2 linked regions of the Oryctolagus cuniculus genome follow. The protein of the gene in region 2 interacts with the protein of the main gene of each other region in a pairwise test. Links are inferred from orthologs where the notes say so. Each region holds a gene or a part of one and is shown on either strand. Other genes may lie near its edges.

The links.
Region 1: the proteins of TEX11 (region 2) and ATXN3 interact in binary tests that used the Homo sapiens proteins (3 or more experiments, as listed by UniProt). The link is inferred for Oryctolagus cuniculus from reciprocal best matches to the Homo sapiens genes TEX11 and ATXN3.

What each region holds. Positions count from the first base shown.
Region 1 is NC_091451.1:37,353,586-37,357,334, forward strand, and holds the start of ATXN3 (ataxin-3), read right to left. Parts: upstream 2,196-3,749; 5' UTR 2,114-2,195; coding exon 2,090-2,113; intron 1-2,089. UniProt on the Homo sapiens protein: Deubiquitinating enzyme involved in protein homeostasis maintenance, transcription, cytoskeleton regulation, myogenesis and degradation of misfolded chaperone substrates.
Region 2 is NC_091453.1:50,676,008-50,679,656, reverse strand, and holds part of TEX11 (testis-expressed protein 11), read left to right. Parts: intron 1-219; coding exon 220-300; intron 301-391; coding exon 392-511; intron 512-3,649. UniProt on the Homo sapiens protein: Regulator of crossing-over during meiosis. Involved in initiation and/or maintenance of chromosome synapsis and formation of crossovers.

The DNA.
Region 1 (3,749 bases), on a different chromosome or scaffold from region 2:
ACCTGGACTGAGTTCCTATCTCTCAGTTTCTGCCCAGTTCAGACCCAATCATTGCAGGCATTAGGGGAGTGAAAGAGAAGACAGGAACTCTGTCTATCTGCCTCTCATATAATTAAAAATTATGCGCATTGTAAAATTCTCAGGAAGTAGGGTGAAAGGGCAAGCGCTGTGGTACAGTGGGTTAAAGCCCCAGCCTGCAGTGCTGGCATCCCATATGGGTGCAGGTTCGAGTCCCGGCTGCTCCACTCCCAATCCAGCTCTCTGCTGTGGCCTGGGAAAGCCGTAAAAGATGGCCCAAGTCCTTGGGCCCCTGCACCCACGTGGGAGACCTGGAAGAAGCTCCTGGCTCCTGGCTTCGGATTGGTGCAGCTCTGGCCGTTGCGGTCATTTGGAGAGTGAACCAGTGGATTGAAAACCTCTCTCTCTCTGGCTCTACCTCTCTCTGTAACTCTTTCAAATAAATAAAATAAATCTTTAAAAGAAGAAGAAGAAGAAGTCAGGTGGAGAGGTTTAAAGTCCTCCATGTTGAAAATTGTTCCTACACCCAAACTTTTGAAAACTAGGAATAAGAATAGGGAGTGGGCATGTGACAGCAGCTGACACGGCTCAGGTGTCCCCACTTCCACTCAAAGACCTTGCTGGGACACCGACTCCCATACTGCTGTGTCAGGGTCAAGTCCCAGCTTCCTGCTGATGCATACCCCCGGACAAACAGGTAATGGCTCAAGTTGCTGGGTCCCTGCTACCCATGCAGGAGATTCAGGTTGAGTCTCTGGTTCCTGGCTTTGGCTTGGCAAAGTCCTGGCTGTCTGGGGCATTTGGGGGAGTGACCCAGAAGATGGGCGCTATGTCTCTCAGACTTTCAAACAAATTAAATAATTTTTTTAAAAAGTACATGTGTATTTGTCACCCAATCTCCTTAGCCAAGCAGCTAAATCATGTCCAAATTCATAAATCGTCATTGAAGCCAAAATATTAGTGGTAATCGTAGCACTGAGTCTCCCCCCACCACACACAAATTGGTCTGGTCCAGCTCCAAGACATGCCGCACGGCTTCCTATAAAGAAAAGCACCGCATGGAACAAGAATGTGTTTAGATGTACACTGCAGATTCACGCCATGCCTCTGTCACCTTGGATTTATCTGTGTGTGTGTGCGCGCGCACGTGACTTCCTAACCAGCTTGGATAAATGAACATTCCCAAGCATTTAATAAAACAAAAACTTTGCTCCTACTAACAGCCACACCTGCCACCTTCCCAAACACGAAACTATTACGAAACCAGAATGCGCCCAAGTTGTCCTGAGGGTTGCACTCGCGCCCGATCGCTGCCTCTGAGGACGGGCGAGTTTCTCCGCACGCCCCAAACAGTGCACGCAGGTGCACGGCCACCGCGGAGCAGCGCCAGACAGGAAGCCCGCAACGAGATTCCAGTCCACCCCGACCCCTAACAACAGAGCTGGCCGCCCGATCCGGAAATCTGGGCATGCCACACGAAACACACCCAAACACCCCAGCACACCCAAACATCCTGTCATCACAACTCCCGCGGGGACTCCCCCGCCGGGGCGTGCCGGGGTCTCCACGTCCGAAGCGTCAGGCCCCACTGGAGGCGAGCCACGGTGCCCGCCCTCGAGGGGCTCCCGGACACGGCCCCAAAGATCCAGGGGCCTGCGAGGTTCCAAGATGGAATGAGAAGCCCCGGCAAGGCCAAGTTCATTCTGCGAGGGGCAGGCCAGCGGGCCGGGGGCCGGAGGGCGAAGGGGAGCGTCCGCGGGTGTGAGCGAGCCGGCGGGGGAGCAGCATCCTCCATCACGCCCACCCGCCCCGGGAGCCCGCGCCGCCCCCGGCCCGGCCCTCGCCCCCGCCGGCGCCCCGCGACGGCCCCGGCTGCTCCGGCAGGGGCCTCCGGGGCGCAAGGTGCGGCGGGGGAGTCGCTGAAGCCGCACTCCACGCTCAGAAGGCGGAGCGCTCCAGGGGCGCCCCTCGCCCGGCGCGGGCCGGAGGGGAGCGCCTCAGGCCCCACCCAGCCCGCCGGGGGCGACGACACCACGGCCCCCGGTCGCCACCACCGAACGCGGACACTCACTTTCTCGTGGAAGATGGACTCCATGTTTATTTGTCTGGAGCCAACGGCCCCCCGCGCCGAACAAGCCCCCTCCAGCTCCGCCCCCTCGGCCCCACCCCTCAGCCCACCCCGCCCCGCCCCTGCCCACGTGCATTACGCGGACCAATCACCCCCGAGAATGTGAGTCACGTGGCGCAAAAAAGCAAGTGGACGCCCAGGCGGTAGACGCGGGGACACGTGATCTCGGTAGTGCGTCCTCCTACCCAGCCGTGGGGCGGGTGGGGTGCTACAGCGCCGCCTGCCGTCTGGAGGATCTCCTGGGTTTCCCACCCATTGCTATGGATTGTTAGGTTTCCAGAGGTGTGATAAGGGCGGCTCGCGGCCGTCCCATGTTGTTTTCCACTGTACTTTCCACCTTCAGCTTATGAAACCTGCATATAATTGTTAACTATTACTTGCTGTTCCCCTATCGAAGTAGTTGTCATGAAGGCAATACTGTATTCCCCCAATGCCTAACTTGTGTGGAAATTGTTTTGATAGGGTTTACTTTGGGCTAGACACTAAGTGCTTGGCATTAACGAATACAGTGACCTCTGATGTAGCCGTTATTACACCTGGTATACTCACGAGGAAACTGAGGCACAGATTAGCTAAGAGCAGCAGCGTCCATGGTCGGATCCTTAGTTGCCTTACCAGCATCCAGGATCAGGGAGCTTATCACTAGTGTAGGTGCCCCAGCCCTCAAGAGGCACCGGAGGGGGAAGTGGGAAGGGGGAGGATGGGGGGGCCTGATGAAGCTTAAGGGAAAGTATGGGTGCAGATGCCGCACCTAGAAACAGGTCGTGGTGCACTTCTCCTGAGATTGTATTTTTTGTGAAAGGCAAAGTTAGAGAGATCCTCCAACTGCCGGTTCACTCCCGAAATAGCTTCAACAGCCAGGGCTGGGCCAAACCAAAGCCAGGAGCCCAAGGACTCATCCTTTGCTGCTTTCCCAGGAGCATTAGCGCGGAGCCAGATGGGAAATGGAGCAGCCTGGACTCGAACCGGTGCCTACATGGGATGCGGCTCACCCGCTGTGCCACAACCCCAGCCCCATGGTGCTGAGGTGGGCTTTCGGAAAGGCCACTCAGGCTGCAGGCCAGCAGCTGTCACTGAGGGACTCTGAATAAGGCTGAGGTGGTTTGGACTTGGGGAGTGGCTTGAAGGTGCAGAGACCGCTGTGAGAGATGCTCAGGGAATCGGGAGGCCTGGACAAGACTGGGGAATGAGGGAGACAGAGGGGGTCGCGCCAACTTCCAGGTTTCTCCTGTCTTGGCAGCCACCATGGCTGAGATCAGAACTGGAAGAGGAGAGATACATTTTGGAAATGCTGCACTTGGAATATCTAAGAGACTCAGGTGCTTTTGTTGAGTATTGGTTACATAATCAGGTCTGGAGCGCCGAGACTGTTTTACGTGTAGAGCAGGGATTTGTTGAAAACAGAAGAGGTGAATAAAACGCAGAGAAAAGGAAGAGACTGAGGGTTCAGGGTTGAGCCCTGGGGCTAGACAAGCAGAAGCCGAGAAGCATCCGGAAGTCCTGGGGAGGGCATGTTCAGGGAGCAGTCAGTATCAGTTGCTGCCACCAAGTCAAGCAACATGGAGAAGAACCCCCCATGCTGTTGCTATGGAGACCATTGGTG
Region 2 (3,649 bases):
CCTATTCTTTTTTTGTTATTATTTTTATTAAGATATTTTTTCTTGAATTATGTAATACAAAGTAGAACACAAAACTCTCCTAAATGCTGACTGTTCCTTTTTGTTTTCTGTAGGTTTTGTGACTGAATATTGATAGAGGAGCATTTTCTCCAATATCCCCCAACCAGTCTGGGGAGATGTGAACTTTAAAAAATTATTTTTCTAACTTTTCTCTTCTAGATGAATATTAAAACAGGAAGAGGCTGGATAGATATTGGAAAAGCTGTGCGTTCTGATGAATTTTTTGAAGCTGCCATTGTTGTAAGTTACCTTTGATTTTTAGCTGTGGCAATTATTAGTAACATCTGTGGCTGTTCTCATCCCCACATTGTATTGCATTTTTATTTCCCAGGGTCTGGAGCACTTATATGTCAGATTAGTGGAGAGGAGTTACACTGAGGCACACGTGATCATTCAGAAGGTGGCTGTGGAGAAGGACCTCTTCAAAGTCTATTCTCACCAAGCAGAGTCAGTAGGTATCATAGGCACACAAGCCTTACTACGGGGGCAAGTTATAGATGTAAATGCAAGAATAATGAGAGGTAATCTATTAGAAGAAAATCAAATGTCACTGGCCATTTATAGGATGCTATATTTGATCTTTGGATCTTGTCTAATGTCTCAAGGAGACATGACTAATGGTGACTGGATCTGTATGGGAGTGAATGGGGGTAAATGACTAATATATATTTTCAACCACTGCATGTAACATCTGTCATTTATTTGTGGCAGCAGCCTTTTCTTGCAACACCTGTCTCCGTGACTGTCTCTTACATTCAGTCTGTCAAATATTCAGTCAAATATTTACTTGAGAAGAGTCTTTTCATTTGCTGTTGTTTTTCATTTACTATTTTTTTTATTTTAAAGATTTATTTATTTATTTGAAAGTCAGAGCTACACAGAGAGAAAAGGAGAGGCAGAGAGAGAGAGAGAGAGAGAGAGAGAGAGGTCTTCCGTCCTCTGGTTTACTCCCTAATTGGCTGCAATGGCCGGAGCTGGGCCGATCCAAAGCCAGGAGTCAGGAGCTTCACCCAGGTCTCCCACGTGGGTGTAGGGGCCCAAGGACTTGGGCCATCTTTCACTGCCTTCCCAGACCATAGCAGAGAGCTGGATTGGAAGTGGACCAGCCAGCACTTGAACTGGCACCCAAAAGGGTTGCCAGCACTGTAGGCGGTGGCTTTACCCACTATGTCACAGCGCTGGCCCCTTGATAATTTTTTTAAAAATAAAGTTTATTTATTTATTTTGAAAGTCATAGTTACAGAGAGAAAGAGGAAGAGACAGAGGGATCTTCCACCTACTGGTTCATTCCCTAGATGGTCACAACAACCAGTGCTGGGCCTGGCTGAATCCAGGAGCCAAGGAGCTTCATCCAGGTCTCCCATGTGGGTGGCAATTACCCAAACATTTGGGCCATCTTCTGATGTTTTTCCCAGGCCATTATTGAGGAGCTGGATTGGAAGTGGAGCTGCTGGGACATAAATTGACACTCGTGTGTGATGTCAGTATCACACGTGGTGGGTGGCTTTGCCTGCCGTGCCACATTGCCGGCCCCTTGATGATGCTTTAAAATATCTCCTGTTATCACACAATGTTCAAAGTTGTACTTTGCCTCTGTTTGCATTGTAGGTTTCCTCATTTTGTTATAGTTAGGTGTGCATTTTCAGTTGACAAAAAGCAGTGATGAATTTGCTTAATGTAATTATGTAATCCTGGAAATGAAAGAGGCACTAAAGTCATCTAGTATAGCCCCCTTTTTTACTTTTTATGATTTTTATTAAGATATGATTTATATACCATAGAATTCACCCATTTACAATGTTTAATTCAGTGCTTTTAGTGTATTCACAAAATCGTTGAGGCCATTTGCGGAGTGAACCAGTGGATGGAAGACCTCTCTCTGCCTCTGCCTCTGCCTCTCTGTAACTCTGTCTTTCAAATAAATAAATAAATCTTTTTAAAATAAGAGAGTACAATGTGAGATAGGGATATAGCTTCATTTACATGTGGTTATCCAGTTGTCCCAATATCATTTATTGAGAAGACTATTCTTTCCAAATTGAGTGATCTTGATACATATATCAAAAACCAATTCATCATAAATGTGGAGGTTTATTTGTGGACTCTTATTTCTATTCCATTGATCACAATGTCTATTCTTTTTTTTAAAATTATCTATTTGAAAGGTAGAGTTAGAGAGAGAGGGAGGGAGGGGAGAGCGTCCAGAGATCCAATTGTTTGCTCCTCAAATGTCCTCAACAGCTGGGGCTAGGCCAGGCTGAAGCCAGGAGCTGGGAATTCCATCAGGGTCTCCCATACAAGTGTCTTGGGGCCCAAGTACTTGTACCATCTTCAGCTACTTTCCCAGGCTCATTAAAAGGACACTGGATCAGAAGTGGAGCAGCCAGGACTCTCTCTCTCTGCCTATGCCTCTCTTTAGCTCTGTCTTTCAAATAAATAAATAAATAAATAAATATTTTAAGAAGGATTAATAACATTAATATGTGGTGTCTCTTTCATAGGAGCATAAGTTTTTGGGAGATCCAGAAATGTAAACATGCATTTCAGCAGGGTAATTGCCTTGAAGTAATGTGGATGAAGTTCTTCAGTAAAACAAAGGATTAGTAGTTTATTTTGATGTGAAAATTAAGAAGATTGTGAATTTTGGGGGAGTATAAAAGGGACATAAAATAGATATTTTAAATTGCAGAGGAGAATGAGATTTTTTAAGGTTTATTTTATTTATTTGAAAGGCAGAGAGAAAGAGAAAGAGAGAGAAGGAAAGAGAGAGAGAAAGGGAGAGAGAGATCTTCCATCCATTGGTTCACTCCTCAAGTGGCCACAGTAGCCAGGGCTGGACTAGATTGAAGTCAGGAGCCAGGAGCTTCATCCAGTTCTCCCACATGGGTGCAAGGGCCCAAGTACTTGGGCCTTCTTCTGCTGCTTTTCTCAGGCCATTAGCAGGGAGCTGGGACTCAAACTGACATCCATATGGGATGCTGGCACTGCAGGCAGTGGCTTTACGTGCTATGTCACAATGCCGGATCCATTTTTTAAGGTGAGAGATGAAGTAATTTTTAGAGGGATACAGTAGGAGGATATGGCATGCTATAAAGTACTTGAGGAATATGATAGAGTCTGTCCACCTGTGTGGGAAATATACTGCAGAAATCAACAAAGGGGAAAACTCAGTTTTATTGAGCATCTACTATATGCTTGACATAGTACTAGGAGCTGTAGTGTTCCTAATTGCTTAGCTGGAGTGAAGGTCCTATTGAAGTTAGCATAAATTCGTAGAGGGTCCATTTAGCATAGTTTACAGTGGATGACAGTGCCCTCTCTCTGTCTCTCTGTCTCTGTCTCTCTCTGTCACATAAATAAATAAATATAAATAAATAGTCTAAACAAAATTTTAAAAGTAAAATACCGTATCTGTTAACTAAATTCTTCAATTCTTAAATGGCTGACCCAAGCCTCTTCTATAAATGCTTAATAAATCTTTACATATTTATTTTTTATTTGAGAAAATCTTGCCTTTGATGGCTCATTCCCCAGATGCCCCCTGGCCCAGGCAGGGTTGGGCCAAACCAGAGCCAGGATTCTTGACCTC